Drosophila melanogaster: one gene and its partner. The protein of the gene in region 1 interacts with the protein of each later gene in a pairwise test. Each region holds a gene or a part of one and is shown in the gene's direction. Other genes may lie near its edges.

Region 1 (7,805 bases):
TTTGGCAAAACTTTTGAAAACAACATAGAGGAGAAATTGTAAGTTTTTCATTCTGTACATTCTGTATGGAAACATTTTCTGTTGAATACAGGTGAATAGTGAATTTACTATAAAATTAAGCAAGTTATGTATTCAAATGTTAGACAACTATTTTTATAGATTTATCAGGGGTTAGTTCATAACATGGCCAAAACAGATATCACCGCTAATATGCAGTCTGTTTCGTACTGCCAATAAACATAGCTAACTATCCCTATCACTATTTTCATTATTATTATATTATTAAACTCTTGGACAGCTATTATAAGATATAACCGCTTAAATAAATACTATTTCGTACTGCCAATAAACATAGCTAACTATCCCTATCATTAAAATTTGCGAAAAATGGGAAAAAAAAAATTAATTTTTATTTCTTCATACAGGACGATAGGGAATTTTGCTACGAATTCAATGAGGTTGACATTTAACTCTTTGACAGCTGTTTTTAATGCTATTGAGAAAATACTGATTACTTTTTACCAAAAATAAACAAAATAAAAATTGCCAAAAATAAACAAAATAAAAATTTGCAAAAATCGGATATTTACAAACGGGTTTTTTTTTCATAACTTGGCCAAAAAAGATTCACCGGCAAAATTAGGACTACAGATTGTTGTTTGCCAAAAAAAAAGAGCAAGATAAAAATGTTGTCTCCATAGCTGCGACAAAAAATTGTATCACAGGTATTTTGAAGACTGCTGTTTATAAAACTAGCTAACTGTCCCCATACCTATTTTATGTTTTTCGAATACAAACTAAGATCTGTGAAAAATAGAAACTACCAAAGGATGACATTCCAAAACAGGTGCCAAGCTAACGGGTGTCGAGAAACGCGTAAAGCAAGTAAAGCCTTTTTAATTTAAAAAGTGGATAGGCTAAACTTTATATAATTTTTGACACTTTGTCTTTAAGCGAACGGCGGCAGAAGAGCCAGATTCCACCGACTTCTACTGGAAAAACTCGTTTCGCGTTTTTTCTTAAGCGTTGAACCAATATGGTAACTCCTTTTACTGACCAAAATTTCAGAGAGAAATTCACTAAACGCACCGAATGTTTACCTTTTCATCAACAAAATAATATTGGCTGCCTCAATTTTCGCTTCTTGTACATGTTCTGTATAGGCTTTAATTGATATTTCTCTTAAACCATCAACAGGTTTTCGGTCGACTTGGCCAATTGCAGTTGGAACCAAACCGCTTCTTACCCCCTTTTCTTTCAAGCTGGCAATTTTTCTTGTGTTTCAGGTTTTCCTTAGTGCAAAATTGAGCGGAAAAACTCGGCCGATTTTGCTTCCAGTCTATATTCATATATCCAGCTCAACCATTTGGCACTTAACACTGCAATTACCAGCGAAATTTCAATATTTCCACAAGGGACTTAATCGCCGGAATCATGATACTCTTACATTCGTAAAAGTTATTGTGCGCTAAAAAAGGCACCCATATTTGTCAGGCACTGGACAGGTTGTGAGCCTTCAAAATGTGGTATGTAATATAGTGGTTCGGGAAGATTATTCATATTCATGTCTCCGGACCCCAAAAACTTTAAAACCAGTTAAGGATCACCAGCTATCGCTTGACATTTGTTCACCTAACACACGATCACAAAGCGAGTTTTAAAGAAGGCCTTTACAAAAGGTGGGGGGCACGACTCTACGTGATGGGGCCGAAAGACTTCGTCTACGACGCCTGGTCTTCGGCTATTTTTGTTCGGTTAAGCAAACCCGAAATTCAAGCCACCAGTCTTCAGTTCAAACTCAGTCAATAAAGTCGCAGTGCGGAAAAATATCGCAGACTCGAGAGTTGAAAACAACAAATAATAAGTAGCATAACTCTCTCTCTGTCGCACTCAATCAGGCCTGGGCCTGGCAGACTGTGTGTAAAATAAATAAATCAAAAAACAAAATTCAAGACATTATAGTGAATTTAAAGTGAATTATCAAGTATATATTCGCGTCGCGTTGGAAAATATACTTTTTTTTTTTTTTTTGTTTCTATAATAAAGTTTTGTCTAAGTGTAATTCTTTTAGCCAACCAGGTTTTAACTTTAATTAGACACATTCCAAAAGGTGAGCTCCAAACGTGTCTTAGGGCCAAAAGCTGGGCCTTCGAATGACGACGGCACGATCCCCCACATTCCCCGCTTTGTATTCCGATTTTATCTTGGCTTCAACTGCAGATTTTTCCACACTAGCTAAAGCGTGTTTAGCTTTGCATTCCGATTTTATCTTGGCAACAGAAACAATAATGCGCCAGATATAATTATTAAATCATGGCAAGCAATGGCTTGAATGCAAAAAGCAACAAGTTCTGATATGGGGAAACCGGTTCTGGAATAGCTCTTCCACAAGCTCGCACACAAGATTGTTGATCCTGTTGCTCAAATCATTTAAGATTCAGACAGGTTCACTTTTAAATTTGGATGCATTTATTAACTGAGTACCGAAAAAAATTAACCGTTGCTACGCTTTTTGAGAATGTGTTTCTTTGGTTCAGAGCCCGTTTTCTTAAGTATTTTTAACTCTATTTCAGAGCTTGTTTTTAAACAGATTTAACAGTACAGATATGATAAAGGTAAACCATTAACTAAATTCGACCAAAATTATGTTCAACACCACACTCTTCTGACATAAAAAAAAAAAAAAATGAAAACACAGGCTATAGACGAGTGCCATGACTGCAAAGCAAATGCAGATATATTTCTATATAATAAAAATATTTTTCGAAAGTGTATAGATATTTCGTTGTGGATTCTTTGTCAGTTGCATGGAAACGGCGTATACGCAACAAAAAATTATTAGGCATGTCCAAACAGAGACATATGATTAAAATTCCCGAAGCATACGCAGATCAACCATCAAAAAACCTCAATTATAAAGTGGAAACACTAGGAAAGGAAAGTTTGATGACAACGTCCTAAATGTTCGCGATTACACTGAACTTTTTTTTTATTTTTTCGAATTGACTGCCACTGATGGTTAAGTCAGCAGAATTTGTTAATCTGTCTGTCTCTATTTTATTATCGTTTCCAACCGTTCTGTGCCTATCCATTTGATGTAAGATATCCTTGACTTTTGGGGCCTTCCCGCAGAAACAAAGATGTTTACAGTTATATACGTGTAAGCCCTTAAGCATCAATTGATTAAGTCCCATCTGATTTCGTGTATGTTTCCAACAAGAAAAAAGCTTAAAAGTGCATAGAAGGCATTCCAAATGGTTGCAAATAGAAAATAAGAAATAATAAAAAAAAAAAACATTTCAGAGAAGCAATTGACTTTGTTGAAATAGAAATAGCTTTGAAAGTGGCACAAAGCAATTTTAATGCTGAATGGAGCGTGAAGTTGTTCAGCTGCAACGCAAAGCATTTTTTAAGATTTTATTTTCGATTTTTGGGCCAACAAGAGTAGACATCTAAATTTAAAATAAAGTGCAATTATACATGACACACACACGATATCCGAATTTGCTTATGAATCAATAATTGGTTTGCAAACAAAAATACAAAGGTTTTATACATCGAAACAACTTTTTACACAACCTCGTCGTAGCAAGATATAAATATTTGCAAGATATAAAAATGAAATATCTTTAAAAAGAAAGACTTATACACAAAGCTATATAAACTGGAATTGTCATGCTAACAAAAATTATCTATACATACTTTATACGTTATCATCAAATACTTTCTTCCTTGCATAGAAACCCTTTGATTGAACTCATTTTATCCTAGCCAAGGGAACAATTCGGTCGAAAGCGATGGTAGATTATCATTTATAGGTTTCCTTTTACTACTCCCACGAAATGTAACCACATATTGATGGGTCGCAATAATGATGTCATCCGATCCCAAATTCTCGGAGTAAAGTGCCATCACGCCCGTGCTTAGCTCACTTGACTGGAAGCCGATGATCTAATCTTAATGGGGAATAGCAACATCAACAATCGCCACTATCTTACATCTGAACTTGAAAACAAGCGGAATATAATAAAAAAGTGCTGGTTGTGAACTTCAATAGAATGGCAACGCCGTAAACTTAATCAAAAACAAAGAACTAAAAAGAAAAGTCTTGCAAAGATTTTTAATTCATTGCAGTGGGTATGTTAAATCGTGGCCAAACACGATAGATTCATACAATATGTATATAGAACAATGAAAGTAATGTACTTCACATCTTAGCTCAGATACGAAATCTTGTAAATATAATTCTTAACTAAAAATTAAATAAATTAAATTCGTTAAATCTTCTCACTAAGTTTTTCCAATTTCCTCGTATTGTTTGATTGCCATAATGCTTTTGTTTTTTAAGCCGTTTGTTTGTTTTATTACCTAGCCGGTTGCGGTTGCAGTATCACTGTATCGGTAGTTTGACCAAAATCAGCGTACATTACGTTTATCCTACACATAAATTCCGCGAGTAAGCCCGAAATGCTGCAGATATGGCAAGCCCATTTCCGAGCGTCAACAAATTTCTTTCAGCTTAACAATGAAGGAAAACGGTGAAGCAGTCAGAGTATGTAAATTTAACAGCTAGTTCAAGCAAAAGATAAAACTGTCATTATGCCTTTAATTTTCATAATTTACCTCGAAGAATTATTTGATCACCAATAAATTTTTTTTAATAATGATCAAAAATCAAATATCAAAACTTCAAGCGGCGTAAACTGATACCGACTGGAACTATTTATTTGCTGTGTAATTGGGTTAAAAAGACTTGTCATAGCTCTTCAACTAGAGTAGTATGGGCACAAACTCTCAGTTCGGTTCATCCCCTGTCTGTAAAACGCACATACCAGACCCCATCCTTCCTTCATTTTCCTCATCAGAAGTGGAAAGTCGAGAAAACGTAGTCATAGCTTACTTCCAAATGGTTGGGTACGCCTCGCTGGACACGTTCGTTTGACGTGTCCATGGATCCAAAAATACTTGGATAGCTATGTATCTATATGCCGTTACCCCACTTGGAACATTTTCGATTTCTTCAAGAGATCGGCCGAATTTTTGTACACGCGTTGAAAAATGTGCAATAATTAAATAATTACAAATAAAAAGAGAGGAAATAGTGCAAGACAAGCGTAAAGTTGTTATTTGAGGCTCAAGAGTCAGACTGAGATGTACATGCATATGTATACGTGTATGTATATCCACTTCATATACTGCAAGTGCAATCTCAGGTTACCCAACTCTAGAGGGTGATTAAACTCCTCGTTTGGAAGAGAAAGTGTCCAATAAAGTAAATATATACGTGTTACACACATTTTCGTTATCAAACCTTTATAAACTTCTTGATGTTTAATTTCCTAACATCTTAATATACCCAGACTATATAAATTCAATCTCTGGTTACCGAACTCTAAAAGGTTATTAAACTTCTCGCCTAAATGAAAAAGTGTCGATTAGATCCAGACATAGTTTCATTAAAAAACATTTATAAAGTTCTTAATATTTAAATACCCAATCTCATATATATTCTTAGAGGTTTAAAACGCATTGGGTTTATTATATATTGCTTATTGTTTATTATTATATTGCATCAAGTCTACTGCGATTCTTCGGTCACTACGAGACACCGCAGAACTAAAAAGGATTGCATATTAAGACTTCAGGAGAAAGTGAAATTAAAAATTCTAAAATTTATTATATATATTAATATATAATAAGAGCTGTTCGAGGTCGTAGGGATAAATGTCATTGACATCTTGCTCAAAACGCATCGAATGAAACATCAGTTGTAAAAACCGAACACCTTAAACATTTTACGATAATGCCCCAAAGCTTTTGAGGTTCGTGTTACATTTGCAACTGTATAGCACTTCAGATTGCTTAACTATTTGCTATTTATATACAATTTCTTTCTTTTTTTAATTCGGCTATATAATCAAATCCTCTAAAATGTACCAATTAAATGCACTATAACGTTAAACTCTTGCTAGGTTTAAATATTTTTATGAAGATTGCCGACTGAGTAAATGTAAGAAAGATCATCTGTAGTCAGTATAAAACAAATTACATTTTCAGTTCTACCACATTGTTCACCTTTAATCTCACCTTTTTTCTGCTATTCCAGCGATGTCATAATGGAGGCAATGACCATGCTGGTGTTGGGCTTCCAGTTGCTTGCGCTTTTTTCGATCGCCGGCGCGCTGCTTATCTACCTGATTTGTAAGGTGCGCGAGGATAGCGCATCTGCCAATGCGGATAGTCATCCCAGTCGGGTGGTCCTGATAACCAGTGCGGATACCGCATTGGGTCTTCAATTGTGCACCCATTTGGCTAACAAGGGTTATCGGGTTTTTGCTGGAATGAAAGAGGCCCAAGATTCGCTACCCGCCAAACTTCTTTGCGGTTGGATGAAGATCCGAGAGTACAGTGAGGAACCCATTGCAGGCACAATTATTCCGATGAGATTGGATGTCACCCGAGAGGATGTGCTTCGCGAGGCCACCGTTATTATAGGCGCTAATCTAAATGCAGATGAGCGCGGTATTGCGGCCGTAATTAACACTAGTGGCAGTGTTTTCCGAGGCCAGGTTGAATCGCAGAATGTCCAGCAGTGGGAACACATGCTCAGAACCAACATCCTGGGCACCTTACGTGTGGCCAAGGCCTTTGTGTGTTTTCTCCGTCCGACACGTGGAAGACTCCTTTACTTGGGAGGAGTAAGTGGAGGTGGAAATGCTCGAAACGAAGGTGATGGACTGGTTGCCTTTAACGCCTCACGCGTTGCCGTAGACAAGTGTGCCGAAGAGCTGCGCAAGGAGCTGCATCCCTATGGCGTCAGTGTGGTCGCTTTGGATACATGCGGCATGACGGCGGAGTCATTGTACAAGGCACCAGTGGCACAAAGTAATGTTTTCCATCATCGTTGGGAATCAATTATATATAATTTTATGTTTGTAATTTATTTCAGCCATGTCCTTGGTCGTTGGGGCTCCTACGCAGTATACAGCGGACGTGCTCAGTCCGGACGCTCTTCATGTGATCGAGCGGGCGTTGTGGGACTATGTTCCGCAGCAGCGATATGCGCTTCTAAGTCATAACAAATACCAATTTGCGTTGCCATGTCGCTCCTCGCTGCGACTTCAGAGGCCGGTAGCTTCAACAGTCGGCGAGAGCGCCAGTCAGTCGGTTTAAAATTTGTCTTCTTCCATTTCCTGTACATATGCTCCTGATCCTGATCCCATTTAGTATAACGCGTCTGATCCTGCTCCTTTCCCTAATTTAATATTTTTACAATATATTTCGATTGATGTTTCTTTTTTCTGTTCTGAGGGCTTTTATAATATTTACTTTTTAATCGTTTTTGCTCACACTGCTAACGGTGTAATTGTTGAACGTTATATTTAATGTTATCATACATAAAAAAATAAAGATAATATATGTGCTGTCTATATATGTCTGTCCAACTTCTGGAATTTATACCTTTGTTTTACATTTTACGTTTGTGTAGTTCTTATTCGTACTTCGAGATAAAGTCAAAGCGCAACACGGAGGCCGGGAAAATTTCACCAGCTTTCGCCAATGGTCGATCAGAAGTACGTGCAGGAAGGTTTATTAAAACATCGGCACCAACAATGCTCTGCAAGCGACTACTAATCTAGAATAATCGCAGGAAAACCGTCATAATATGTCGTTTAATTTAAGGAAAAGTGGCTTACTTGATTTCCATTGACGCTCGCGTATAACTCTCCAGACTTCGAAATCACGGAGGCCCGAACGAACTCCGGGCGGCTATCTAAGCTGAAGTCATTAAGCAACTAAAAGAA
Region 2 (4,714 bases), on another chromosome or scaffold:
TTTCTCGCAGTAACAATTTGAATAAACTGTGAGTTGATGGGAAACTAGCTGAACTGTCAACTCTGGGGCAAGTACATAACGCCTAGGCTTTTACTTGCGCACAGCGACCGGCAAAAGGGGGCAAGTGGCATGTTGGTGTCAGGTTGCCGCATGTGCACCACTCCGCCGAATGCCCGCACCACCTCTGGCAACCCGTGCACCGCTCAGTGGGTAGCTAGTCCCACGACCCACCGATGGTAAAATAGCAAAACGGCAAGAAGCAGCGGCTGCGGCGACGACACGGCCAGTCAACTTTTGGCTCGGCTAAACAAAAGTGTCTTCGCAAGCTAAAAATAACCACTGTTTTGGCCCAGCTGCTTCCAACACACCCCTACCCTCTCCTCATTTTCCCGCCGACTTTGTGGCTCCATGGCCCGATCCTCTTAGTCGCTAGCTTGCGCTTCCTGTTCTGTGTGCAAATCTGTGCCAAATGTTTTCCAAGAAAACGCAGTATGCAAATACATATTGCATTTAAATTCTTGCTGCAGCAGCAGCAAAGCAGCAGCAAGTGTGGCAAATACAGGAAAAGGGGCAAAAGGGGCGGCCTCATTAGTGGCAAGACACTTGAAATTAGAGTTTGCAACTACTGCTACTGCTGCTGCTGTTGGCCCCAACCGAACTGAACGCTTGGCGATGATGAAAGTGATTTATGTCCGGCAAAGCAATGTTCCTCAGCTCCTCGTAGACACGAGACCCGATGTCTGGCCTGGCAGCAGCTTCATCTTGGCCAGGAAACATGTTTGTGGGCTGCTACCGCCTTGCAGCTGTGCTGTCCACACCCTGTAATCAAAGATAAGAAGCGTGTTGGAAATGGGGGGGGCTAAGTTCATAATGTTTTAGTACAAACTGAAATAGATATGAGCCTTTCTTTCGGCATTCAACTGCGATTTGTTTGTAGAGCTTGGATTTAGATTATAATAAGGTTTGGGTTTATAAGCCTGGTAGTTGAATTTTAGTGAATTGTGTATTTTTTGCAATCATTCAATAAAGTATAAATTTGATTTTTGCTATGGGTACATTTGGGTTTAAAACTTTGAATGCACTTGATTTTTTTAAGAGAAACTAGTTTTAAAAAACGAAGAAGATCAAGCAGAAGAAGCTGAGAAAAGAAACAATTGCATAGGAACCCTGAAGTGCACTAGACCTGAACTATTACTATTTTTTCGCTTTTCTAGCGCTTTTTGCAATGGCACGGCATAACTGAAGCATATCTGCGCACACTTCTCGCCGGTGGGGCACATAAAATGAGATAAATAAATGCAGAATGTTAATCCCGCAAGTGTCTTAAACACGGCTTAAGTATATGTTTTATTTTCGCTTCAGTTCCTGGCGTATTTTAAACTTTTTTGTGACCTACAAGCGGAGTGAAGAACTCACCACGAGTTGGGTTCTGCCCCACAAGTGAGAGATAGAGAGAGGGAGAGAGCATGGAAGAGAGCGGGCTCCAACTCTAATCAGCATCAGCTGTAGTTTGTTTTTGTTTTGATGCGCCACATGGCGGGCACTCACTCTCTTGCGCTCCCGCTCTCTTCCCGTGCAGCTTTTGCGCTCTGAGTGAGTTGGGTTTCGGTCGTTGTTTTTGGATCGATAAAACTTCTCGCGCTGCCGTGGTATAAAATGCTTTTCACTTTTCCCACTGCACTTTAGTCGCCAGACATTTATCGAAACGTGCACATCACCAGCGGTCGCACACTCAAACATATTGCATATATATATATATATATATATATTGCTATCCCAACAAAATATCCTTCGAATCGAAAAAAACCCACGCGAGTGCAAATCAAAAGTTTTTTAGCTTTCTTTGTGAGTGAAGTGTTTTTTGGGAATTTTTTCGGTAGTTGGTTGGGAAAACGTTGCAAGATATCCTGGCTTATCCAACTAAAGGAATTTCGTCCGTTTTCTGTCCGCTCTTACTGCACCCCCCTCTCCGCATATCTCTTGTCCGTTCTCTCCCGGGATGCTCCTTGCATTCTCTCGCAGTTGAGTAGGGTTTATTGATTTTACGCACATGCAGCATCCCCATCTATGAGTCATCATCATTCGTCCTGCAACATTTTCCCCCACGTGCCTAATCTCCGTTTTCCCCCACATCCGCGTGCGCTTAGATTTTTCCAGTGCGAAAAGTAAAGCAATTGCATCCATTCAACAGAGAGATTATCCTTTCGCCAAACAAATAGAAACAGAAATGGCCGCCTACGCTGCTTTCAAACACGTTGAGCTTTACAATGTTGGCAAAGCAAAGAAGAGGTAAGAAATTCCTAAAGGATACAGTTAAAGTGACATTTTTAAAGACTTCAGAACAAAGAATTTGCATGTCAAAAAATGAATCGATAAATTCGTTGTCCGGATTTATTACACATTTTTACACGGAAAAGGGAGTTCATCAGTTTTTGTCAATGCATGTCCCCATGCAAGAAAAGTCGTTTAATACGAGTACAAAAAGTGGCCTTTGTTAATAATGCTTTTGTCAAAAACCATCTTCTGAGGTTTTAAAAGGGTATAAATCACCATGACGCACAAAGAGAATCATATGGCTGGTAATTTCAGTAAATAGATATATTATCAATATTTATTCAAAATGAGTCTCACTAATTATGACAAGCTGCAAAGAATTGAAGGAATATTGTTTTGACAATGACGAACAATGATTAGTAGGTTCTTTATTAACAAATAATGTTCTCATGTAAATCATTACAGCTAGGACAATCAATATATTCTGTATTTGTTTAAAAATCTGTGTATCATAATAACGTAACTTACACGATGTTACTCAATGTGTTTGACTTATATTGAGGTTATTCGCCGACCGACTCATTTTCCCTGAAGTTTAACAACTGTTACGTGCCTACTGCACATTCTGTTATTGTTTGCCATCGCTCGAGTGAACTTTGATTGGCAAACATTTCGGAAGGCAGCAGCCTCATCGTGATCTGCATCAACATCTCCATTTCCATCTTTATCCCATTGTCTGAGCTGTCGGGCCGCACAAACACCGCACACTTACATATTCATTTGGTTATGTGTGTAGATTAATTTAGCGTTCATTCACCTCGCCGCCGCCTGACTGACTGACTAACTAATACTACCCATACAGTCGCGTGTGCACGGGGCGTATGTGTAATCTGGGGAGCACCACTTTTGCAAGCGCCTACTTCCCACAAAACCGAAACCACCTAGCAAGTGAACCACCACCACCCAGCAAAGCCAAGCCAAGCCAAGCCGCCGGTGTTGGCATGTCTTTGGATGTCGTCTCATTGATTTTCCTTTGCCAACCCAACGGCCACCTGCCCCACGCCAACCCACCGCACAAAGCACCACCCGCGACACCACCACTGCAGTCGTCCACTCGATGCTACCGCACCAAAGTCAAAGGGACCGACCGGCGTTCTTTGGGAATATACCCTTTCTTGCTCCGAGGCGTATGACAATCTCTTTTCGTGCCATCAAAACAATGCGCAATTTTAATTACGAGGTGTTAACGAAATATACTATTTGACGTGACACTACTACTAATAATAATAATGTTTGCACATCTAAGCAAAAGTGATTTCTCGGCTTCATCTGTGTTTCATTTAATTTCAAGGAGTAACTGCCAAACCGCTCTGTCAGTCTTTGCATAAAAAAAAATGGTGGCTTTATTAAACTATTTTTAGTTTATTAAAACTTGTTTTATTAGTACATAGACTTTGAAAGTTCAAAGTGTAGAATGGCATTTTTACAGTTATGAAGCTTATGATTTTTTATGGCATACTAAAATCCATAATAGCCGCCTATGGTGTACTAAAAACATTGGTTATGCAGTTATTATGAAAATTCAATTTTAGCTTCAACTCACTTTTCGGCAATCAAACAGATTTGTTAAACATAAAAACTGATTAGATTCGCCCATTATCCAAATGATACGAAATATAATAAAATGTTTATTATTGAACAATCACGTCCTATTACCGCTAAAAATAAATCATTATATTATTACCGTTTATCGCCGCTTGTACGACGAGGGTATTTCCCCCATCGACTTCTCTCAACTATGGCCCGCCTTTCTTTTTCAGTTAGTTTCGGCATTTGTTTTTGCATGCAATTCTTTGACCAAGCCCCATGTGCCCAGCACCACCCATTTTTCGCCTTTCGAGTGGGGAAACAACAACAAAATCGTTATCGAAATGTTTTTCGCTTATGTCTATTCCGTATACCACTCTTACGCTCTCGTACCTGTTCCGAGTTTGAATTCGTGTCCAAGTCCGCTTCCCTGTCCGCTGTTCCGACCGTCTGTCCGTCCGTCCGTTCAACTGTCCGTTTGTCCGTTGTCCGTCGTCCGCTGGTCCGTGGCGGACATTGAACCCCGCCTCTCTTCGCGGCCGTTGGGATCGGAGATTAGTTTTGGTCGCGGCAGAAACCAAATAGAAACAATTTTCCTTATGTGTGCCATGTGCATTATAAACAATTTGCTGGATTTTATGGTCCATCGATGGGTGGCTGGCTGCTGGGGATAAAGTGTGGAAAATGTGTTAATCATTGTCATTGATTGCGATTGTGTAACATACCGCCTTGGACTTTCCCGCCGGCGGCTGGGGGGAAAATGATTAATATACTTTTCCTCTGCATTTCGATGCAGCGTTTTGTCTGCCGTGTGTGTGTGTGTGTGTTCTCCTTTCTTCGGCAAAGCCATGAC

The links. The genes of interacting proteins can lie anywhere in the genome.
Region 2: the proteins of CG13377 (region 1) and Jupiter interact in a two-hybrid assay, tested with the Drosophila melanogaster proteins (one large-scale study listed by BioGRID).

What each region holds. Positions count from the first base shown.
Region 1 is NC_004354.4:257,973-265,777, reverse strand, and holds CG13377 (uncharacterized protein), read left to right. Parts: upstream 1-1,778; 5' UTR 1,779-1,916; exon of another isoform or gene 1,917-2,110; intron 2,111-6,087; exon of another isoform or gene 6,088-6,106; 5' UTR 6,107-6,116; coding exon 6,117-6,885; exon of another isoform or gene 6,886-6,949; coding exon 6,950-7,173; 3' UTR 7,174-7,443; downstream 7,444-7,805. Other genes in the region: cin (cinnamon), read right to left, coding at 7,493-7,636, 7,698-7,796.
Region 2 is NT_033777.3:11,601,717-11,606,430, reverse strand, and holds the start of Jupiter (jupiter), read left to right. Parts: upstream 1-1,676; 5' UTR 1,677-1,845; intron 1,846-2,147; 5' UTR 2,148-2,227; coding exon 2,228-2,289; intron 2,290-4,714. UniProt on the Drosophila melanogaster protein: Binds to all microtubule populations.